2 linked regions of the Pelodiscus sinensis genome follow. The protein of the gene in region 2 interacts with the protein of the main gene of each other region in a biochemical or structural test. Links are inferred from orthologs where the notes say so. Each region holds a gene or a part of one and is shown on either strand. Other genes may lie near its edges. The genes, in order: KLHL6 and RC3H2.

Region 1 (12,903 bases), on a different chromosome or scaffold from region 2:
TTGAGAAGCTTGTGTCTTCGGGTATAAGGTATATAAATGGCAATGAATCTGAATTGTGGTTGGCTTGGCTGTTAATATTGCCTTAAATGGCAATTTCCTTGTTATTGATGACGGTGTGTTTGTAGACTATGTTTACACTGGCAACTGAGCGACAAAACTTTTGTTGTTCAGAATGTTAACCCCCCGCTCCTGAGAGACAAAATTTTTGCCACAGCAGCGTCAGGGTGAACTGCTGTTTCCGGCAGGAGCACTGTCTGGTTGACAACGCAAACACTGTTGTGAGCATGGAAGTATTTTGCCCCACTTTTAGCGACACAGTCATGTCATTCAAAGCTGTGTAGTGTAGACAAAACTAATCCTAACAGAGTATTGTGTACAGGATCTAAACCACAGAATTAACTAAGCGCCATCTCAAAGCACTTTGCTTCCTCACTGGCACATTCATCTTTCTTTAATTTATTAATCCCCCTTTAATTTTGAGTCTCTCTTCAAGCAGTTTTCTTCTATAAGATGAATGTACTGCTGGTGAATGGCTTCTCACTCCCAGTTCAATTCTGGTTTTGCACTTTAAATACCTGCTGATTATCCTGATCTTTGTCACTGAGTTCAGCTGTCACTTAGGGTTCGTCTGCTCTATGGGATAAGGTCCAATTAAGATACACAACTTCAGCTACATTAATTGTGTAGCTGAACTTGAAGTACCTTAACTCAACTTTTGGCGCTGTCCACACTACAGGGGCTGCGTCTAGACTGGCAAGTTTTTCCGCAAAAGCAGCTGCTTTTGCGGAAAAACTTGCCAGCTGTCTACATTGGCCACTTGAATTTGCGCAAGAACATTGACGATCTAATGTAAAATAGTGATAGAAATGTATTTGCGCAAGAGGGACAGCTAAAAAGTGTTTTGTGCAAAAAAGCCCCAAAGGTGAAAATGGCGATCGGGGCTTTCTTGCACAAAACCGTGCAAGAAAACTTTTCCGTTAAAAGCATTTGCGGAAAATTATGCCAGTCTAGACGTAGCCAGGAGGTCGAAGGGAGAACATTTCCCTTCGACTTCCCTTACTTCTCTTGGAAGCAGGCCTTCCGGCATCGACTGGTGCATGCCTCTTTGTTCGAATTAGTGTGTCTTCCCTGGACCCACTAATTCGAACCCTGAAAGATTAATAGCAGCAGCTTCGATCTTCTCTGTAGTGTACACGGACTCTTAGAGGCCAGGTGCCAGATTTCAAAGATGATTCAATCACAACAGTAAGATTAGAAGTACCTGAACCTTTTTTTGACTACAGCCAGAGGAAAACATGTGTGAGCGTCTCAAATGTAATTCATCTCCTATTAACCTGGAATGCCAAATCTTTCTAGGTTAGAAAGGACCACATAAGGATGCAAAGTTAGGAGAACTGTGTATAATTGTCTTGCAGACCAAAGTCTTCACGGACAGAAAAGGTGTGTGTTTCCTGCCAAACACAGATTAGCAACCTCTCTGGGAAGCGGAGGCCAGGTGCTGTCGTTTTTACCACAAAATACTTAGATGAGGTGAGCCACAGGCGGGGCCTATGCTGTTGACCTCTCCTAGCTAGATTTCAATAAAAGTGACCTGCACCTTCTCTACACTAGGGTTTTAAGCAAGATAGACAATCCATGTTAGTCTCCTGCTGTGCACGGCAGGGAAGACAGAGCCTGTGAGCAGAAGGCTTGTGCAGACCTAATCATTCCAAAGACTTGCCTCATTCGCATTTTCACTGCCCTGTAGCATTTTCCTGTTCCCTGCTTTCCTTCCTGGTTCCCACGGAAGTCAATGGCAAAATATCTTTTAACTTCAACAGGAGCAGGAGTTAGGCCCCTGTTACTTCTGTGTATTTTACTCTGTCATGTTATAGCAGGGGTGCTGCATGCTGTTGAGATGACATTTTCGGGTATTCCAGGCAGGCAGGCATTTGAGAGCAAAAGCACCGGTCACACGTTAGAGAGAGAGGGGTTCTATACAAAAAAGGAAAGAATTAAAGGGCACATACTGCACGTGTGGTAGTGGAAGAGCTTCATGTGAGTGAGAAACGGGCTGTTGTCCTAGGATGCAGCTGTTCTGTACCCTCACTTCTTTATCTCCTAGATCTGTGATTGTGGTCTTGTGGTAAGGCAGGGCACTAACAGCCGGGGAGGTGCAGCTCTGTTCTCACCTTATCAGCCTGAAACTGGAGTAACTCAGTGGAGTTACCGTGGCTTTCCGCTCTCACGGGGGAGCTTTCTGCACCTATCCTCTAACCTTTAAATGGGGGGAATAATATTTTCCCCTGCCCCCACTTCAGTGGGGTGAGGGGAGACTTGTTTACTGTGTGTGAGACCTGCTGAGACCCTGGGTTGAAAAGCGCTAAGCAACTCCACATCACTCCTCCTTGAAAGTCAGGGGGCAGAAATGGGGGGGAGGAGGGGTGTAACATCATGGAGGACTGGTGTCTCTTCCAGCAGCTCTACTGTGGCCAGGCAACTCTGCTCTACAAAATGGTGCCTTCCACGTGGGCCATACAGAAACATCCTGCAAGCCCCCAGCTGGACAAAGCTCTCGAGGCTGGGAATGCAGGGCACTACCACACCACTGCCCTGCTTTCAGATTTTCAGAATTGGGTGTCTAAAATAAGGCTTCAAAGTCCAAATTTAGACCCAGGAAATGGGAGCTGCTGTGCACCCAGCATTTTTGAATGTTAGGACACTTAGGTTCCTACATTTGGACTTAATGAGTGTAATTTTAAGCACCCGCATTTTGGCAAATGTTCGACTCTCATAACTAACAGTTGCTTCTGAAAATATTGGCCCCAGTTTCTGTGGGATTGTTTCTCCACTACCTGGTGCAAATCAGGTGTAAAATGCTGCTCTTCTGGTTTGGTACCCTCTTTACACCATTTACTTTGCACAGCTGGAGTGGAGAATTTAAGGCACGTTTAAGGATACAGGACTCCATCAAAACATTATATTATATATGATCTTCAATGATAACAGAGGAAGGACTGAAAGTTGATACCTCTGCCTGGTCCCTGCTCAACCCCTGTTTAAAATGTGAATTTAGCATGAACTACTTATACTATAAACTTAAAAAACAACAAATGGTCTGGTAGCACTTTATAGACTAACAAAGCACGTAGATGGGCTCATGAGCTTTCGTGGGCACAACCCACTTCTTCAGATGGCTGGAGTTTTATTATGTTAGCATCCAAAATGTGTTAGGCCTTGTACAAACCTACCCCCCAATTCAGGATGACAAATGAGAGAAATAATTTTAGAAAACTATTTGCTCCCTGCAGACATGCAACATCCAATGAATCCATCCTTGCTCTTCACATGACAAAACCCAGTCAGTATCCACCCTCCTTTTTGAGCCATTTTGTGCCATATCCCAAAGGGCTGAGAGGGGCACCATACACCCAGGGGCATTTCATCCTCCCAGAGTCCTCTGCCAACAGCAGATGCCTGGCTGATAGCAGTCAGTGATGTGTGATGCCAACAGCCACTCCCGTCACACTGGGGATCCCTGGCTGGAGGAAGCCAATCTGTAATCCCCTGATAACACACAATACTGGTTTGACTGTTGGCCATTTTTCAGTTACATTATTTTAATTCAGATTTCCACTGTTCATTTTGTTTCCCTTTTTCCATATGGCACCACTACTACACTGCTTTCAGCTGCATGAGTTTCACATGTAAATCTTATTTTGTATTAGGTTTAGTCTCGGATGTCTAAAATAGCACTTCTCTTGTGATCTCTGTGAGTAAACTTCACTAAGCCTCCATGAAACTGGCACTTCCTACTCAAATCACTAATGCCTGCAGATTTGTTTCCCTCCAGTTTCCACTGTAGTCAGTCACCACGCCATCTCAACAGTTGACAAAAAATCCCAGCTATGCAAATGTGAAGGTCTAAACTGATAATGGAAAATGTTATAACTCATACTGTGTTTCTCCATGAGTCTCAAGTTTGTTCCTTCCAATCAGGAGCCTAAAGTTCACTGTGGTTTTAAAAGGACTAAAGGTGGATTCTTTGGAATTTGTAAAATTTCTTCCTTACAAGAAGTTCCCATCTCTCAACTGATTTTACAGTAATCTTGGGAAAGACAGGAAAGAGGACACACATCCTTTTCCCTTCTCAACAAGTTTACAGACTATGCATTCTACCACATAGTAATAGTGAAAAAAGACAACTTCCACAGTCACACTAAAACAAAACTACCCCAAATTTGCAATGAATCAAGGATGCATACAATGATGGGTAAACAATGCTCAGAATATTTGGCTAAGATTTTGTCCTTCCATCGCCAATTGTTTTCCCTCCAGTTGTCTGTTTGGGGTAGACGTGACATGTTTGACATTGTTGCTTTCCTAATTTAAGGCTCCAACTGTCAAAGAGAGTAACGGAGACAGGGGTCCAAACCCTCTGAAAGTCGGCAAGAGCTGGGCACTCAGCCTGAGGCGCCTTAGAAACGCCCAGCCTCCGTGTACTGAGGGGAAAAGGTGTTGGTTTTAAAAACTGCCTTACCTGAAATAATTGCTTGCTGCCGCCAGGACCACACGGTGGCAAGAGAATTCCATGTGGTCCACACACAAGATGACATCCGTGAGAGAGTTTTCCAGCCTCAGGTTCTCCAGGCCATTCTGAAGCACCATAGAAAGCCCAGTGTCATCAAACTTAACCTTGTCCCCACTTGAGATTTCCACTAGGTCCCCCATCTTCCTGGAGTACTCATTGTCCAAAGAGACCAGAGGGTCTTCAGAACTTTTCTCCACTGTGTCCCCCATGTTGGAACCAGACCGTGTCATTCCGTTGGGGCTTCTCTCTAAAAGAGTTCCTAAGCTTCAGATGAGTTACACTGCCGAAGTTAAGCGGATTTCCTGTCCAGGGCTCTCCGCTTATCTACAGCTGTCACACACATAACAGGAAGCCTTGCACTTTCTCATCCTGTTAACACAAACAAAGGCTGGGAGGGTGGAGGTTTCTGTGAATTTCGGGCAATATCAACATGTTTAGAAAAGACTTAAGATGCTTCTAAATGTGAGAAGATTACAAATGATGGGGAAGGCCTCTCTCGCATCCTGACACTGGCCTTTTATTTATCCCAATTTGCTTATCCAAAATGAAAGGTGTCCTTTATGGATTCCAGGTCCATCCACTGGCAGTGAGTACTGAATGTGAGAAATGTCTGTTATCAGGCATAAATTCTCACAATTAGACACTTTATCATTTTAAATGCTGATGCCTGAGCTGCCATCTATAACATGTTTACTTTGTTGTTAGGGTGCTACCAAATTTACCACCATAAAACACACGTCACGGACCGCAAAATCTGTTCTCACTCTGTGAAATCTGGTCTTTTGTCTGCTATTTCTCTACACTGTGCAGATTTCACATGGGAGACCTGTGTTCCTCAAATTAGGAGTCCTAACCCAAAAGGAATTGCAGGGGGTCACCAGGTCATTTTAGGGGGGCACAGGATTGCCATGTTTACTTCTCAACTTTCTTTGGAGCTGGGCAGCTGGAGGGTGGTGGCTGTTGGTCATGTGCCCCGCTCTGAAGTCAGTGTTCCAGCCACCGCAGTGTAGAAGTAAGGCTGGTAATTCCATACATATCATGCCAACCTTGCATCTGCGCTGCTGACTCCAGAGCTGGGCGGCTGGAGAGTGGCGGCTGCTGACTGAGGACCTTGTTCAGCAGGCACAGCTACTGCCAGCAGCAGCGCAGCAGTAAAAGTAGCAGTATTATAACCCCTCCCACACCACAATAACCTTGTGAAACCGCCCCTACACACAACTCAGTAAATACACCAGAAGTTCACGAAGTTCCTCTCATAACTGTGAAGCCTCATTGAGAATTATTTTATTTTGATACCAAGAGACAAATTCTCTTCCTGTCTCTGTAGCACCTGACAACAACATGGGTGTAGTTTCACTCTCCCTCCACAAGAGGGCCATCCGAGTATAGGGTGGACTCCTGAATTGTATGCAATTGTGAGCTGCACAGGGCAGAAGAGGTTTAGGGCAGGATAAAAGCAACCTGAGTGTAGTGGGGTGGCTGCCCCACACTAGCTGGAAGGGGTTGAAGCAGGCTGGAGGGAGCCTGTGCAGAGCCTTGGCCAATCAGAAGAGGCTTTTAAGAAGCCAATCAGAGGGCAGCTTGCTGGGCCAAGCCCTGTATATAAGGAGCTTCCCAGCAAAGCGAGGCAGTCGGGTCCTGATGTTGGAGGGTGTGGGACTGGTTTCCTGAGAAACACTTTGGTGAGAGAGCAGTGCTGGACAGGATCAGGGGGGCTAGAGAGAGAGGCTTCAGCCTGATACCTTCCAGGCTGCTGGCCTTGACACAAGGGCCAGGGAGGTGCAGGAATCACAGGGGAAGTGGCCCAGGAAACAGGAGGCAGTAGAAGGGAGAGAAGGGGACAGGATGAGGCTTCTGCCCAAGGGTCTCTGGTCCAGGACCTAGAGTAGTGGGTGGGCCTGGGTCCCCCCTTATCACTCATACCACACCTTGCTACCAGGAACAGTGGCCTATACAGACTGTGGCGTGCCCTGAGGCAGAGGGGCTAGGCTTTGGGGATGCAGTTGGCCATAGTGGCAGGGGAAGTTGAGAACTGCTGATACCTCTGGAAGGGGGTGAGAGACCACTGTGGTGGGCACTGCTGGAGAGCAGTGTCCTGAAGAGGACTCCATGGTCTGGGAGTAATGTGGGTCCAGAGCAAGATCGTGAGAAGAGCACAGAGCGATGATGAGCAAGATATCTGCCAGGAGGCACCCTGCTGAAAACTGAGCTAATTCCTGGAACAACCAGCAGGAGGTGCCATGGCAGTGAATTGTGCCCCATGGGCACTGAGGAATTGAGGAAGAATGGAGTTCAAAGATTCATTGCTACAAAGATCCCCTCTGGGTTCTTCTCTTGTACTTTTATCCAACTTTTCCAAAGTTGAAAAGAAAGAAAGAAAGAAAGAAAGAAAGAAAGAAAGAAAGAAAGAAAGAAAGAAAGAAAGAAAGAAAGAAAGAAAGAAAGAAAGAAAGAAAGAAAGAAAGAAAGAAAGAAAGAAAGAAAGAAAGAAAGGCCCAGTCCTTGACATAATGTACTGTATTGATTCCAGAAAGGACAGAAAGAGGGAGAATTCACTAGGAGGGTGGTGAAGCACTGGAATGGGTTCCCTAGGGAGGTGATGGAATTTTCATCTCTAGAGGTTTTTAAGTCCCAGCTTGACAAAGCCCTGGCTGGGCTGATTTAGTTGGGATTGGTCCTGCCTTTAGCAGAGGGTTGGACTCAATGACCTCCTGAGGTCTCTTCCAATTTTATGATTCTGTGAGTCTAATACTCTAATTAAAATGGGAAATGTTTTTGGAATATTTTTTAAAAAGCTAAGTTTTGAACTATGAAAAATGAAAATGTTCAATTTTTTTATTCTCCTCCCCCCACCCCACACCAGTTTTTATCTAGCTCTAAAGAGACTTGAGTATGCTTAGGGTATGTCTACACTACATAGTTTGTAGTGACAAGGCTGTGTTGACACGGCCCTGTCACTAAAAGTCAGCATGAATCCATGCTGTCTGTCAGCACTTTTGTTGACAAAATACTTCCACCCCCAATGACGGGGTTTTGTTTTGTTAGCAGGAGTGGATTCACACTTTCACTTGCTGTGGCAAAACTTTGTCATGCGTGGGGGTAGAAGGCTGTTGATCAAGTGCAGACATAGCCTTAGACATTAGAATCCCTTACTGCAAGAACTTTAAGAATGGGATTTCTCTTTGGAGGCCTTCATGAACAAAGAGATGAAGACTAGTAACGGTAATATGTTGAGAAACATACTTTGTAAGATGGCTGATATTGCAAATTGGCTTTTAAACATTCTGTTTTTAATCGAAACAACTACATTGATTTGATTGCCTGACCTGCTCTTCATCCACCAATCCATCTCTACCCAGAATTACAACTATAATTCCAAACCTCTGAGAAGCTTCAAGCAAACTCCAAAGAGATGTTTCCTCTCCAATGTGGAATAGATCCTGCCACACACAAAAAACTACACTGCTCTGAGATACAAAACAGGTAATTTTAGGTCTTGGACTTGGGTTTACAGTCCATTCAAGGACTAGGAACAGAGGCTACATCTAGTCTTCAGGCTTCTTTCGGAAGAAACATTTCCAGAAGAGATCTTCCAAAAAAACATCTTCCAAAAGAGCTTCCACACTGCCAAAGTGCATCAAAAAAGCGATCTGCTTTTTCGAAAGGTAGCTTACACACTGAATGGATGCTATCTCGCATTTAAACTGTGATTACTATGGACAAAGTGGCCACCAGGGCACCTGTGCTTTTTCCTCTTTCCTCTTCTTTGAAAGAACTCCTTCTTCCCAGTCCACACATGCCTTTTTCCAAAAGAGCTCTTTTGGAAAAAGGCTTCTGCTTCGTAGAAAGAGGATTACCAATGCCAGAAAATCCCATTTGTTCTTTTAATTTTATTTCAAAAGAATGCGATTGTAGTGTGGACGTAATTGAAGATTTTTTGGAAAAACTGCCATTTTCCCACAAAACTTTATAGTGTAGGTGAGAAATTCTGAAAGCTAGCTAGAGAATTTAGCCACAGAACCCTGTTGAAAGTAATGGGAGTTGGGTGGCCTAATCCTGTCATTGGCTTTGGAACTTTATATCTGCAGGGAACCAGGAAATCCTCCATTTCAGTGGGATATGATACTTATTTCTAATTTTTATAAGTGGTATAAGAGCACACCTTGAATCTGTGACACTATTATTTACAGGATTGGTGCTTTAGGCCATCTCTAGGTTTCTGAAATTCATTAGTTATCTTTCTCTCTCCTTCCAAACTCTTTCTAATTAAAGCCACAATATTAAAGGAGCCTGACTTTACAATTGGAGGGAATGAACAATTATGCTGAGATAGAACTGGACTTTGGGTGGCCCTGGTGCAGGCTGCAAGGGTGGAAAGCAAGGAAGCCAGAAATCTTCCTCCTTTTCTCCCCTCTCTACTGCATTCATTGTCTGTCATTTCTTGCAGAATTTGCTCAATCTTTATTTGCTCCTTCATGATCCCAGAGCGGAATGCAGCTGTGGAGTTGCTATTGCTACTTCTAGTGACTGTGAATTCCTCTCTTCTTATGCTCCATCTGTGTCTGCCAGATCCATGGGTTCAAAAATCATGAGTCAGTCCCCAAAAAATCATAAGATTGATCTAAATAAATCATATTTTAACCACAATATTAGATTATTTGTATTTGCCTTCTAGTGTCTGAACCCTTTAAGGTTCCCATTTCCAAGCTTTTCTTTATACCATTAGGGTTAGAAACTTGACTGTTTTTTAAATGGAAACTGAGGTTCTCAGGTAAGTACCCAAGACACTTTAAGAAAACTACTAAACATTGCAAGATATAGTTAAATTACTAGGATGCGCAAAGGTGAATACAAACTTTGGGTTCAGGTCCCATTAACGCTGCAAAATGAAACCATGCCCTAACTATGTCAGTGGAGAACTGCGATGCAACTAGCTCCCCAACCATTATGGATGACATAGGGAATGCCCTAGCAGCCTCCACTGTGTTGAATGGTGCAAATGTTGATGGCTGTCTTCCTTCTTATCGCCATCTGTGCCATTATAGAATCATAGAACACTAGAACTGGAAGGGACCTCGAGAGGTCCGTCGAGTCCAGTTCCCTGCCTTCATGACAGGACCCAGTACAATCTAGACCATCCCTGATAGATGTCAATCTAACCTGCTCTTAAATATCTCCAGAGATGGAGATTCCACAACCTCCCAAGGCAACTTATTCTAGCGTTTAATCACCCTGACAATTAGGAAGTTTTCCCTAATGTCCAACTCCCTTGCTGCAGTTTAAGCCCATTGCTTCTTGTCCTATCCTCAGAGGCTAAGGAGAACAATTTTTCTCCCTTTTAGATACCTGAAAACCGCTGCCATGTACCCTCTCAGTCTTCTCCTTTCCAAACTAAACAAACCCAATTATTTCAGTCTTTCTTCATAGGATATGTTCTCTAGACCTTTAATCACCTTTGTTGCTCTTCTCTGGACTTTCTCCAATTTCTCCACATCTTTCTTGAAATGTAGTGCCCAGAACTGGACACAATACTCCAATTGAGGCCTAATCAGCACAGAGTAGAGCATAGGAATGACTTCTCGTGTCTTGCTCACAACACTCCTGTTAATGCATCCCAGAATCATGTTTGCTTTTTTTGCAACAGTGTCACACTGTTGACTCATATTTAGCTTGTGGTCCACTACGACCCTTAGATTCTTTTTTGCAATACTTCTTCCTAGAAAGTTGCTTTCCATTCTGAATGTGTGAAACTGATTGTTCCTTCCTAAGTGGAGTACTTTGCATTTGTCCTTATTAAATTTCATCCTATTTACCTCAGACCATTTCTCAAGTTTGTCCAGATCATTTGAATTATGACCTCATCCTCCAAAGCAACTGCAACCCCTCCCAGCTTCGTATCATCTGCAAACTTAATAAGCATACTCTCTATGCCACTATCTAAATCGTTGATGAAGATATTGAACAGAACCAGACCTAAAACAGACCCCGTGGAACCCGACTTGTTATGCCCTTCCAGCATGATTGTGAACCGTTAATAACTACTCTCTGAGAATGGGTATCCAGCCAGTTATGCACCCACCTTATAGGAGCTCCATCTAAGTTGTATTTGCCAAGTTTATTGATAAGAATATCATGCGAGACCGTATCAAATGCCTTACTAAAGTCTAGGTATACCACGTCCACTGCTTCTCCCTTATCCACAAGACTCGTTATCCTATCAAAGAAAGCTATCAGACTGGTTTGACATGATTTATTCTTTACAAATCCGTGCTGGCTGTTACCTATCACCTTATTATCTTCTAGGTGTTTGCAGATGAATTCCTTACTTGCTCCATTATCTTTCCTGGCACAGAGGTTAAACTGACTGGTCTGGTTTTCTAAAGCTACAGCCCAAGAAGAAAAACATATCATCTGCTGATTATGTACTCCTGGAAACTCCAGATCAGAGACCCCTGAACTGTATAAAAGCTGGACTAAATGTTTCATGACTGTGCTAGTTCTGAGCTGAGGTTGTTATGAACTTGTGACCACCGACAAGACCCTCTGCAGGCCTGAAAGGCTAATCACCTGCCACAGACCTTGTCAGAGTTGGGTGATCTCTGCTAAGTTTATTAGCCTGCATACAGATTCTTCTGGTGTTTTAGATATGTTTTCTGAGTGACGCTTTAGCCCTGGCATAGAAAGAGCTGTGTGGCAGCTTAACTGAGGCAGTTAATTATCAATCTCTGAAAAGAAACCAAGTAGCTCTGCTCAGGCAGTGAGCTTCTTGCTGGGAATAATATAGCAAATGCTGGGACCTGTTCTGGAGATGCACATCTCTCTCCCCACTGACTGGAGCACCCTTGCTGAGCACCAGAGGAGGAAAGATAGGTAGAACTGTGACACTCAGATCCCCTTGCCAACACCCTTTATTTGTAACTGCTATAAACCTTATCTTTTCTACCAGGCAGCTCCTCATGGTCAGAGTCTGCCTTTCTAGAAGTGCTTAATAGTACCAGAATCCTTTGGTCCACAAGGAAAGACTCACTGCAGCTTAAGAGATGGGTTGTTGGTGATTTGTCATGATTTGCCTAAGTACTAGCATCATCAGGCAGTAATGCAGAGCTGAGAGGCAAGTGCTGTGTTTTACATGACCACAGGCTAATAGAACAAAATAATCAGAGTCATTTTTAAGGTATCTGAAGTCATCCAGGCACTTGTTTTTGCGTTGATCTCTTTAAAGCAGGCTGGTTATTAATGGTTTAATAGATCACCAGTAATTTAAGCAAATGCGACCCTGTTATGTCACCCTAGACTACTACAGTGGTATATTCCTTAATCCTATCTGTTTTTACTTTCTAGTAATGGCTTCCAAAAAGAGTTCTGACACTCTTTGGCCTTCAGAACTTGCTTTGGCAGCAGCCTTCTTTCCTCGTGAACTCACTAATTGTCCTCTAATGAACCTGTTAATCTGATGTCAGTGCAGGACTGATGGATTCCTTGCCTGTGTTTTCAGTAAGTTTGTCCAACAACCACAAGCTGAAAATAGGAAGTCTTCATTTAAACCAGGAAACTGATGAGATTTTTGTAGGTACCTGGGAAGATTGTTCTTAAAATAACACCTGAAACTTGTGGACCTAGTTTTATACAAACTACTAGTAAACTGGCTTGTCTGATTCATCTTGGTGGCCTTTCGTAGTTTACTCTTTCTAATCTGAAGTCACTGTTCATTTCATGACCTTCTCTTTGAGCCTTATATTGAAGGAGTGTTGGTTCCATTTCCCTGGTTAGGGCTGTGGCCATTGTCTGAAGCTGTTAGGCAATTGCACTTTTGCTGGGATGGCCCTAACTCGCTCTGTCCCAAATTGCACCTCATTTGGGGCCTCTCCTCCTTTTTGAAAATTGCACAACTTTAAAAAAAAAAGTATAAATTACCATGGTGGGCCCTACCATCTGTTTGTTTATGTTTGTAGTTCAAGTACAGTATTTGTTTTATTCAGTTGTATGGCACCTAGAGCACTTTGAGTGGGGAGAAGAGTTGCGATAGAAATATAATTTATTGTTTTCACATTTAAAGAAGCATAACAGCATTATTTGTTCAACATCTGGATGGCCAGGATAGGGTCCAGAGTGACCAGGACAGATTAGAGGATTGGGCCAAAAGAAATCTGATGAGGTTCAAGAAGAACAAGTGCAGAATTCTGCACTTGGGACTGAAGAAGCCCAAGTATTGTTACAGGCTGGGGCCTGAATGGCTAAGTAGCAGTTCAGCAGAAAAGGACCTGGGGATTACAGTGGATGAGAAGCTGGATATGAGTCAACAGTGTGCCCTTGTAGCCAAGAAGGCTAATGGC
Region 2 (12,148 bases):
CCAGATGGATGCTGGGCCCCAAATGGGGTCCTGCTGGCCAGGCTTCATTTTAAATAATGTAAAATATTATGTCCAACACAAAAAGGTTTTCCACATTGTCTTTATTTATGGTGGGGTGGGGAACCTTTTTTGGGTCAGGGCACTGACCCACAGAAAAAGTCAGCTGGGGACCACACAAGGAGGGGAAAAAAAGAGACCCTCCAAAAGCTCCCAACCTTCAGTGAAGTAGCCCCCACACAAACACCTCACTGCCCTGGTGCCCCAGCCCCATGGAGTGGAGGCAGAACTGAGGATGAAGGGCTCAGGCTAGATTAACTCTTCTGGGGTTCCAGGGTTAGTGAATTTTGAGAGCCTGGGGGCCCAGAGATGGGGCCAAAAATGAGGGGTTCAGTTCCCATTCCAATGAGTGGAATAGGGATAGGGGTGCAGGATCTGGGCAGGAGGAGCTGAGGGTGAAAGGTCTGGGTGGGAGGTAGGGTGTAGGAGCAGGCCGGGGAATAGGCTGACCGGCCAGGAGGAAGGGTGCAGGAACAAGGGAGGGTGGAGGAACAGGCTGGGGGTAGGAGGTCTGTCCAGGGGGAGGGGGCAGGAGCAGGTTTGGGGGCAGGGTTCCTGGCCTGGGGGGGGAGGGAAAGGCAGGCTGTCTGGCTGGGGGTAACAGAGTCTTGGGGGCAGGGTGTCTGGGGGGGTAAGTGAGGGGCTGGAGGTGCACCGGCTGGGTATACGAGTGAGCGGCACTTACTGTTCTTCAGATCCCACATCAGTCCCATGCTCAGCCTCCCACCAGCTGGATTCTGGCCAATGGGAGTGCAGGGAAAGCCTCCAGACAGCGTGCTCATGCGCTGCCGTTTCCCCAGCCTGGGAGGGGAGCGCTTCCTACCCACACAGCGAGGCTTGGGGCTCTCTCTCCCCACACTGGGAAGCCAGCTCAGGGGCTCCAATCACTGGGGGAGGAGGAAGGGCGAGGTTGCAGCACCAGGCAAAGGGGGCCCAGACCACTCAAGTCAGTGCTGCTGGGTGCCTTCCTGCCTGCCTTGCAGAAGCACCACTCATTTCTGCAGCCCCATGCATGGCTGGGTGGGAGGGAGCCAGCCTGGGCTTGGGTCTCCCCCAGGGTAATTTGGCACTGAACTCAGGAAATGGCCACTTGGGTCGTGGTGAAGGATCAGGCAGTGGGCAGCTGGGCACACGGGGAGCCTCGCCCTGTGCCTGACACTTCTCCTAAGCCTGCTGGCCCAGCAGCCCATGAGCACCAAGAATGACTGTAGCATTGCCCTGGAGCAAGTCATGGCACCCAGGGGCATGGGAGTCTGTCTCTGTCCCCAGCATGAGTGGGCCTCGCATAAGCCAAAGCAGCCTTTGGGCCAGGGGACAGGCCCCCTGAAAAGCTGTGGCCAGAACTGAGTGGGCAGGACTCTTGGGAGGCAGAATCTATCCAGGTTGGGCTGGCAGGTGACTTTGCCATCCCCGAAGGGGCAGGGAGCCCGTGTCTAGCCTCGCTGTGAGGGAGCTCGTGCGAGGGTGGGGCGTGTAGACACAGAGTGATGTGATGATGTCACTGTCATCCCAAGGGAATTTTTTTTTTTTTAAACAAAGAGAGAGTTACCCTAATCTTTCTACGTGAAAAATCCACCAACACAATGCAGAAAATGATTAAGCACACAGCAAGAAGGTTTCATTTTTTTAACAGTATGTTGAAATGCTATCAGTTGAGACATCATATTAAGACCACCTTAGATTACTAAACCTGAAGAATTTAGACATCTAAATATACTGTTTGCTATTCATTATGAAACTATTGCATAGAGGACAGACTTGCCCAAATCATCAAGTTTCACTTTTTATTTCTACTGCAGTAGCTACATGCTACTGAGTTTGAATTCATAATCCTCCCAGGGGATGTTTACATTTTCCTATCAATCACAATAAGTGAACCTGAATTTGTTTTTTGAATCACAAAAAATGTGGATTTAACTACTTGATGAAATTACTTTAAACATTAGATTTTTTTAATTTATAATTTGTGAAGCTGATTCACAATGGAGCTGTATGGTACATGAGGCTCACATTTTAAACTAACTTTGGCACATTCTCTCAATCCTATTAACCTTCCCTATTGACTTCAATGAGTTCGATTCCACTCAATTTTTAGTCCTACTATTGAGAACTTTGAATTATTAAGGACTGAGTGCATTAGGCACTGCAAATTACAACATGGATTTTATTCTAATATAATACACTCTTACTATATGATTTTAACCATGCTTCTGAGGCTGAGATGCTCTTTACATAGTAGCTAGCTGCAGACAACTTGGGATTATAAAATGGGAAAATGTCAAGGCATCCATTGCAATTTTCCATCTGTGCAAGCAAATTAATCACTTGTTTAGACTACAGTAAGTAGGTTTGTCAAGCCTTCCTTCTGAAGTTACTTAAGTTGAAAGTTTCTCATCTATCTCAGTAATTTATTGCTCATGTTATCAAATTATTAGTATCAAATTACATTCTAAATGGACTTCAGTCTTCCATTTATTACTCTAACCACCACAACATACATAGCCAAGAAACTGGGTGCACATTAAAGGCCAAGGAAGTTGGCAGTCCCAATAATAACTTTGCATCATTTAGCTATGATGATTTGAAGTGAAAATAAATCTTCTTTAGATAGAACAGACTTGCTTGTTTCTGCATATCACGTAATATCCGTCACATTTAAATCTTCTGAGAAGCAGCCTAAATGTAAAGAGAGCTGTTCAATGACCACTACAAGACAATATTCCAAGCTACCATTCTGATAGGACTTTTTATTAGAAACCTGAATTTATCTCTGGGGAAAGTACAAGTCTCATATTAGGGATATAGAAGAGTAGTTGATTAGTCAACTACACAATGGGCCTAGGCTTATTGGTTATTTGAGTTGACCACTTGCATCCCCCCCCCCCCAGAGGCAGAAAGGAGGATGGGGGAAACAGGAGCTGGTGCTCGGGAGGGGGGGGGGGGGCAAAGCCAGCTTAAAAGCCAGATCCCCCAGCAATGTCTCTGCAGTGCCACTTTCCCCCACCCCGTGCTGCTGCCTCTGTCAGAAGCAGCAGTGCAGGGGGACCAGGGAAGGCTGCTCTGGCAGCAGCCTCTGTCTGTAAGGGGTCCCAGTAGGAAGTTGAGCCCTCCCACAGATAGGAGAAGCTTCGCCGCAGCAGCTCCTGTCCACAGGGGGTTGCAATTCCCCACAGGAACACCCCCACACTCCGTGTACAGGGGCTGCTGTTGGAGCAGCCCCTGACTCCATGGCAGCTGGGGCTGGCCACGAAAAGAGGCTGCCCCAGCAGCAGCCACTGTCCACATGACAGCAAGCTGCTCTGGCAGCAGCTCCTGTCCGCAGTGGGCCCCAGCTCCCTGATGGGACCCACCCCCAGACAGGGGATGCTGGACCTGGCATGAGCTGGGACTGAGCAAGCCTAGCTCGCTCCCAGCTCACGCTGAGTCCAGGAACTATCGCTGCTGCAGTTCTGCAGTTGGGGTAGCCCCTTCTGAGTACCTTCCCTTATCGACTAATACAAGTCAATACAAACTGAGTTAACATCCTTAGCTTATATTTCAGGGAGAAATGTTGTTTTATTTAAGAAACATCACATCCATGTACCTCAATTTGAAACAGACCAAAACAACAAGGTACTTTTTTCAGGGATCCCCATATTACAGACTTGAGCTAATAATTAAACAACCAACAATCTAGCACTTTTCCTGGATTTATTTATGCACATTTCTGTGGTGATCATTATCATAACCTATTATAAAATTGTCTTAGACTTTAGCCTTTGCCAAACACCCATAGGGAAATTTGGAAACTGCAATACTTGCAAATTTCCTAGCACAGAGACTTTAAAAAACACAATTTTTAGACTATTTGTTGAAATGTGGTTATACTATGTAACACATTAATATAAAAATGGCATCAGCACGCAAGATTTATTATTGCTTGTGATTTCTAGATAAACATTGCTGTTCACATGTAAAAGTGTTTTTGTTTAGTTGGGTTTTTTTCCCTAAATGCTAGAACCATTCATCCAGGACCTCAGTCAAGATTCTCTTTCCTGTTCAAGCAACGTATGTTAAGATGTTCACTGAGTTATACATCTGTTTTCTGGCTTGTTGCAGGGGGTGTAACAGAAAGAATTTTGGCTTCCTAAAATACAGACAAAAAACCCCATCTCCCATAGATTTTTCAGGACTAACAGAAGGACAAAATGGGAAAAATGTTTGATGCTAAAATCAGAGGAGCTTGTTTTGAATATCAAAAAAATATGTTTGTTTAAGAAGGTGCTATTTTTACTTTTCAGAGTACATCTGCACTTAAAGGGTGATGTCCAGAAGACCAAGGATCACATGGGGCAATTCTTTCTGCATTTATCCTGAACCTTCTCCCATTCACCCCAGTTGCACTTTTTAAAACATCCCTTTTACAAGTGAACAGTCCCGACACTAACAAATTTCACAATAACATTTTGGGCAAGAGTTAGTAATTCCCTGAAGAATTATTTTCATGCAAGCAACATCAAGACTTTTTGGAGCCGAGACCAAATAATAATAAACTCATACAAGGATATATGTTCAGTGCAATCCTCCATCCAACATGAAAACCAAAGCCAGAGCTATTACTCATGTTCTGTTCATTAATAACTGTAAAATTTGTATACAGCAAGCTGCATTTTATTTATCTTTAATAGTTGATTTTCCAGAAAGTATGTAAGATAAATATTGGCATCCTATGCCATATAAGTTAGCTAAGTAAATAAAGATCAATACTGAAAACCAACCAAGATTATCTTTTAAGCAATCTCTAATATTTCCATTAAGTTGACAGAATTTCATTTTTTTGTATGGAGTGTATTATCCCATACAAGCTAGAAATGCTAATGCTATTACTTGTTGAAAAGTATATATTGAAGTATATTCTTCATATTCAATAAGAAAGGCATATAGACCTAGGGAAAGCATAGTTAGTGACAAAGAATAAGAATGAAACAGTACAATGTGCAATAGGTTTTAAATTCTGGAATTCCAGTGATGTTTTTAAACAAAAGATTGAGGGTCAAATAACTAACTGATCCAAACAGATCTCTATTTACAATTTTACTAGCATGTTCTCATTTAAAATTCTGTATCACCGTTTTTTTCTCTTACTGATAATTAAGGACAAGATCATTGGTTAGAAAAATAAACCTATGTGAAAAAGATAAATTGGCAATAGCCACAAAAATAGCCAAATTAGGGTCAGGCCCAACTTTGTCATCACATATGAGACAGAAAATACATCCAGAAGATCTTGCCATCAGAATCTTTCCTAATTTTCAACCTAGACTGTTTTAATTATCACTTATTTCTAGGTATAAGCTTCTCCCCCAATAACTCCTATAATCCTTCCTACTAAATCAATACCTCTACCACAGAATCATATTGCTGTTATTCTCTACAATCCCTCCCCGCTCTTGTACTTAAAAGCGGAGCTATGCGTGGACACAACATTTGTATCCGCATCCACCAAAGAACCACAGATATCCGCCCTGACATTTGCAGAGGCTAATACCCGCAGATACAAAGCGGCTACCCGCACATCTGCTGGGCTCGACATACAAAACTTGCATCTGCATCCACAGCTGCCCAAACGAGCTGCGGAACGTCCGCGTCCAATGCGCGGATTTGCAGGGCTCCACTGAACAGTCCGCTGCTCTTTCACAGAAGGATGCGGGCTGGGCTCGTCTCCTAAGCCCCAGCAGGTACCATCGCCGGGGCTTTGTCTGCGCTGCTATTTCTCTTCGGGCGTCCCCACAGGGCTCGTGACGCCTCGCCCCGGGCTAGCAGCAGGGTGAGCCGGCGGGCGGAGCGAAGAGCCCAGGGGCCTGTCTAGCGGAGGGCCCGCGGGGCCACAGCAGCCGAGCGGAGGGGCACGGCCCCGGGGGCGGCCCTGTCCCGCGGGAGCCCGGGGAGGAGGGGCCCCGGCTCCCCGCGCAGCAGCCGGGGATGGCGCCCCCAGCCGCGCGGCGAGCCCGGGACCAGGCGGCGAAGGCCCCAGGCGGCTCCCCCCCCCCGCCGGGAGGGGCGCTGCTGACAGCGAGGGGGCGAGGCCGGGGCTGACAGCCCCCCCCCCCGCCGCGCGCTGCCGCAGGGCACTGGGGGGGGCGCTGCGGCGGGGGCGCCCGGCCGCGTTCTCCTGAGGCGCTGCGCCCCCCCCCCCCCGCCGAGCGCGCGGCGCCTCCCCCCGCCCGGCCCCGCCCGCCGAGCGGCCCTACCTGCGCGGGGCGGCCGGGCCGGGAGCAGGAGGCGGCGCCGGCCTCTCACACTCCATGGGGCGGGCAGCCCGGAGCGGCCCGGCGGAGGCAGCGGCGGGGGCCTCGGCGGCGCCTCCTCATCGCGGTGACAGCCGGGAGCCCAGCCCCTCCGCCCCCCGCTACTATCGCGAGAGCTGGCCGGGTCACGTGAGACGGGAGCCTTTTCTCCCCCCTTCTAGGGCCGCCCCTTCGCGTCACATGACAGCCAGACCCGCGCCGGTTGGGTGAGCGGCGGACCTAGTGCACTGTGGGTAAGAACCATAGAGATGATGGAGCAGAGAAGCCCCAGCCCAGGGAGTGGGCGTGTCCTACGCCAGGCTGGAGGGAAAGGCCCCAGGCCCCCGCCTGCCTGGGCGAGGCGTTATTCTCTCCCTGCCCCTGCCGGCCCCAGAGAGCAGGAGCTCGGTGCAGCTGCCCCAGGGGAAGGGGGCTGCTGCTCTGCTTGGCCCCACTTGGCCTGCAGCAGAGAAGGGGCGTGGGCCTTGCCTGCAGCCCTAAAACTGCTGCTCCCCTTTTTCGTGGAAGAGAGGCGGGGAGCAGAGCGGCAGGCTGCAGCCAGAGGAAGGATGAAGTCCTTTGATGCAGATGCTGCTAGTTGAGCATGGTTGTTTCCTCGGCGAGGGCCTTCTTTTCCTCCTCCGTAAACTAGTAGGCTGTGTCTAGACTGGCCAGTTTTTCCAGAAAATCAGCCGCTTTTCCGGAAAAACTTGCCAGCTGTCTACACTGGCCGCTTGAATTTCCACAAAAGCACTGATTTCCTACTGTAAGAAATCAGTGCTTCTTGCGGAAATACTATTCTGCTGCCGTTCAGGCAAAAGTCCCTTTTGCACAAAACGTTTCTGCAAAAGGGCCAGTGTAGACAGCTCAGAGTGGTTTGGTGCAAAAAAGCCCTGATCGTGAAAATGGCGATCAGGGCTTTTTGCGGAAATGTGTCCGTGCCAATTTAGACACGCTTTTGGGGAAAAGTGTCCGTGCCAATCTAGACGCTCTGTTCCGAAAATGCTTTTAACGGAAAACTTTTCCATTAAAAGCATTTCCAGAAAATCATGCTAATCTAGACGCAGCCGTAAAGAAATCACAAGCTGCATTATTTGAAATAAAGACTCCAAGCCTGCTTTCTCAGTCTTTTGCCACAGAGACCTCAGGAGGTCAGAACAACAAGCAGCCCTCGGGCAGTTAACTGGTTAGAAACAAACTAAGGGGGGGGGACAGTTACATACGTATATAAAAGAACTGTGGAGTCCAACATAAGAATGGCTATACTAGGTCAGACCAACGCTCCCTCTAGCCCAGTATCCTGTCTACCCACAGAGGCCAATGGCATTGATGGACCTAACCTTCATGAATCTATCCAGCTCTTCTTTGAACCCTGTTAAAGTACTAGTCTTCACAACATCCTACATTAAATTAATGGAGATTGCCTATCTCCTAGAACTGGAAGGGACCTTGAAGGGTCATCAAGTCCAGTCGCCTGCCTTCGCAGCAGGACCAAGTACCATCCCTGACAAATTTTTTGCCCCAATTGCCTCCTCAAGGATTGAACTCACAACCCTGGGTTTGGGGGGGGCCAATGCTCAAACCACTGAGCTACCCCTCCCCGTCTGGCAAGGAGTTTTACAGTTGACTGTGTGTTGAACATGACTAACAATTGAGAGTGTACTTAAAATATCAAGTTAGCTATAATTTAAGTACATGGACAATTTCTTAACATAATATTCAATACTTTTAAGATAGTTTCAGTCTCTCTCTCTCTCTATATATATATATATATATATACACACACACACACACACACACACTCCTCAAGAGTTGTGTATATATAAACAATGCTTATTTCCATCCCATTTTATCAGGTTATAGAAAAAAATAATTACATTTAAGAAAAGCACCAGGGGACTCAGACATATGTATGCATATAAGTGAATTTCTCTCTCTCTCAACAAAATTAATCAGGAAAGAAATTCGAGCAACTGAAGAGATAAACATAAACCTATACTATTACAGATGAACAAAAAACTTACCAATCCTCACACAGAAGGTGCATATCAAGATCATAGCCTCTATTAGTTAGGTAAGCGTCGAATTTATCACCTAGGTCTAAACAAAGACATTAATTATCTTACCCATTACAAAGATAGCTTCCCCAATTATCACCTCTAATATCATTAGCTCACAGACATTTACCTCCCTTCCTCATCCCCCTTCTGTTCTGAAATTTGATTTGTCCTTTTCATGTGTGTGCATTTTTTTGATTGTATCCTTTGGTATATATGGTTGTGCCAATTTTCTTCCACTGTTAGATCTGAGGAAGTGGTTCTGGCCCACGAAAGCTCATCACCTAATAAACCATCTTGTTAGTCTTTAAAGTGCTACATAGTCCTGTATATTGGACAATGATTGTTTGATTCTGTATTGCTGACAAAAAGACACTGCGGTAGAACAAACTGAAAGTCAGCCAAAACAAGGCTCTATCTGTCCCCAAACATCACAATACATATAATTATTCTACTACAATAAAAGATCCCATTTAAAAAGCAACAATTTTTTTCCTTAGTTTGGGTATGTCTACACATGGATCCCTAGTTCGAGCTAGGTATGCAAATGTAGCCAACCAAAATTGCTAATGAAGCAGGGATTTAAATATCCTGCGCTTCATTAGCATAATCTCACCCCAGGGGTTTGATTCGAACTGTCCCAGGGCGCACTTCCTGGTTCAAATCAGCTGTTGGCGAGATTATGCTAATGAAACACGGGATATTTAAATCCTCACTTCATTAGCAATTTCAGTCAGCTATATTTGCATCCCTAGCTCAAACTAGGGAGCAAGTGTAGACGTACCCTCTGTTATTTTAATATAGTTCTCCAATGTTTTCTGACATCTAACATGTAGGACCAGATTTCTTTTTTTTTTTTTTTTTAAAGTGCAAAACTGAAGGTCACTCAGTCATGAATTTAAAAGCAGCCAGTCTTCTACAAAGAAATGTCACTAATTACAGTCTGCAGAACTCTGAAATTAATCTTCAAATGCGACACTTACCTGGGCTTGAATAAAGACATTAACTAGTTGGCACATTACAAAGCCAATTTCTCCTGCCTTTAACATCCTCATTTTCACAAAAAAAACTATGAACGGGATACATCCAGCCCACTTAATTAGCCTCATTAATATGGGTCCTACAACTGACAGGTACTTCTGCTGTTTATATTTGATATCTCGTTTTCTGGTATTTTCACTCTAATTCATCTGATGAAGTGGGTAGTACCCATGAAATCTCATGATTCTATACATTTTGGATAGTCTCTAAGGCCAGGTCTACCCTAAAGGTAAGATTGAATCAAAAGACAACTCCAGCTATGTTAATTATGTAGCTGGAGTTGATGCATCTTGTTTCAAATTTCCCTACCATCCCCGCAGCAGGTAGCCAACAGCTTCTGTTGGCTTCCCTTACTGGTCGCAGAAACAGGAGTATCAGCTGCAGATGGGGGCACCCTCAGAGTTCAAATTAGCAAGTCTTAACTAGACCCGTTAATTTGAATTCCAGAAGATCTATCACATCAACATTGATCTTCTGTTAGTAAAGACATGGCTTTAGGTGCCACAGGACTACCCACTGCACAAAAAATAGCTATAAACCTGTTAATTTGAGTGTATGCACATTATTTAATATAATACAGAAACCAAGAGTGCAGAGTAAGAGTATGTTCTGGAAGTCAAGCAAGCCCTTAATGTTACTATTAAACAAAATAAGACATTTACCAAACCAATAGTGAACCCTATGCATTTGTTACCACGTGAGGGACCAATACAGCCACCACTAAATGCAATGACATCAAGACTGCAAACACAGAAATAGCCAAGGAATACAAGCCAAACTAACAAAAGTGCTGTAAAAAGCAATTGCCACTACTGTGGAACTGCCAAATTTCACACCTAAAACTCACAAAATTAATCATGCATCAATATCCAGCACAAAAGGAAACAAAACTCATATTTGCCGAACCTAAGGATTGAATTGTTATAGTTAAGAATCCCAAAACAATCATGTCCAAATTATATATCCAGGATAAGGGCAGAGAGATGAGAGAGGTCTTATGCTTACAGTTATACCTTCCTTGATTATATCATTTAGGCCTCATTCCTCCTGCGACATATATACACACTTAACTTTACACAACAAATAGTGCCATTCGTTTCAGTAGGACTACTTCACAGTACATAAAATGAACTGAAACATCTTGAGTTTATGCAGGCCTAGGTCATTAGTCTTTCTGTGCCTCAGCACACCTTTCTGTAAAATAGAGATAGCAAAACTTCCCATCTATAATATATATTGTAAACCTTGAGACAGGAATTAACTCTGCATCCCATGCTTAGCTTTATGCATGAACTCAGCTAAGACCTCTAGGCGTTATAATAAGCGACTGGTAAATCAGTTCTTTAAAGCTTAATTCTAACTATCAAGTAAAGAACCTATTATAAACCCATTCTGAAACAATGGTAAAAAATGGCTAAAATATTAAACCTGCCAAAACTGGACAGAGAATGCAATCACACCAGTACAGTTGAACATTGCTATTATAGATGAATAATAGGAAGTTATACAGCATATATTGTGTACATAAACCCCATCTAATTGGATGGTGAGTGAAACCCAACAAGGTGACTTTTGTACTACATGACATACTGGAAGTTAAGAGATCCTTTTGCAAGTGACATAAGAGCTTTATAGTGTAAATACATAAGAAAGAGCACTACTGTTTTTGCTAATTCAAGAGGATCTAGAATAAATGGCATTATTCCACTCTAACAGTATATATTTTTATTTATACCACATTAAATGGAAGAAACATGTATGCCACTCAAGGACAGGCACAAGATAAATAATTTGAATTACAGAGCACTTTGATGCTTGCAGGTAAAACCATAAAGTGTAACATCTATCCAGACACATTCAATAGTGTTTTACAATATCATACATTTACAGATTGAAGAGTCCTCCATATCCAAACGGTTCCTTATATAGAAAGGCCTCTACGTCTATTTGAAAAACATCCTAATATAGAGCGTAGCTCGGATTTTCACAGCATAAGTATACATCTGAGACTTACAAAACTAAGACAAACATAAAATACAATCAGAAGACAAAGAATTGATTACCAAAACTTACAACCAAACAATTTGTGTCAGTGAGAACAATGCTGTTAGAAACCTTTAGAACATGACTAAAATGAGACTCTATTCATTTAGCAGAGAGCCAAAACAGCAGCAGGGAAAAATGCAAAGAGCCGCACCAGAATTGTCTGGGGGGAGGGGGGGGCGCGGGGGGGGAAAAGAGGCTGCCTCTTTAAGAAACAAGCTGAGGCTTTTTGGCCATATCGGGCTCCCGTTGTCGGCTGCCCCAGTGAGCAGAGGAGCCAGGAGCACGGGTCATAGGGAGGGAGGAAGGACATGCAGAAGCAGCTGCGCGAGCCTCACTTTTGGGGAAGAAGAGACGCATGTGGCTTGCTAGCGCAGGTTGGCCACCCCTACTCTATTCAGTTAAAAGTGAACTGAATACTACATTTGTGCCTTTTTCAGTTCCTCTAAGACAAACTTTAAAGCTTCCTTAGAGAGTTCTCCTGTTTTTATTTTTTTTAAACTACACACTTGGCAATCAGATATGAGGAGTGTGGGAGAAAAATCTATTTAGAATAGAATAGGCCCTGACTTCTTTTTGCTAAAAGATCCAAAAATTTGGTGAACTGAGAAAATGACCTCACATAGACTGATACATTAACTATCGCTCTTGGAGCACTCATAATTAACGTTCTGAATAGGTATT

What was found.
Region 1: the proteins of RC3H2 (region 2) and KLHL6 form a complex in vitro, tested with the Homo sapiens proteins (2 studies listed by BioGRID, with this or other methods). The link is inferred for Pelodiscus sinensis from reciprocal best matches to the Homo sapiens genes RC3H2 and KLHL6.

What each region holds. Positions count from the first base shown.
Region 1 is NC_134720.1:7,875,298-7,888,200, forward strand, and holds the start of KLHL6 (kelch-like protein 6), read right to left. Parts: upstream 4,923-12,903; 5' UTR 4,801-4,922; coding exon 4,520-4,800; intron 1-4,519. UniProt on the Homo sapiens protein: Involved in B-lymphocyte antigen receptor signaling and germinal center formation.
Region 2 is NC_134732.1:23,198,341-23,210,488, forward strand, and holds the start of RC3H2 (roquin-2), read right to left. Parts: upstream 6,455-12,148; 5' UTR 6,288-6,454; intron 1-6,287. UniProt on the Homo sapiens protein: Post-transcriptional repressor of mRNAs containing a conserved stem loop motif, called constitutive decay element (CDE), which is often located in the 3'-UTR, as in HMGXB3, ICOS, IER3, NFKBID, NFKBIZ, PPP1R10, TNF and in many more mRNAs.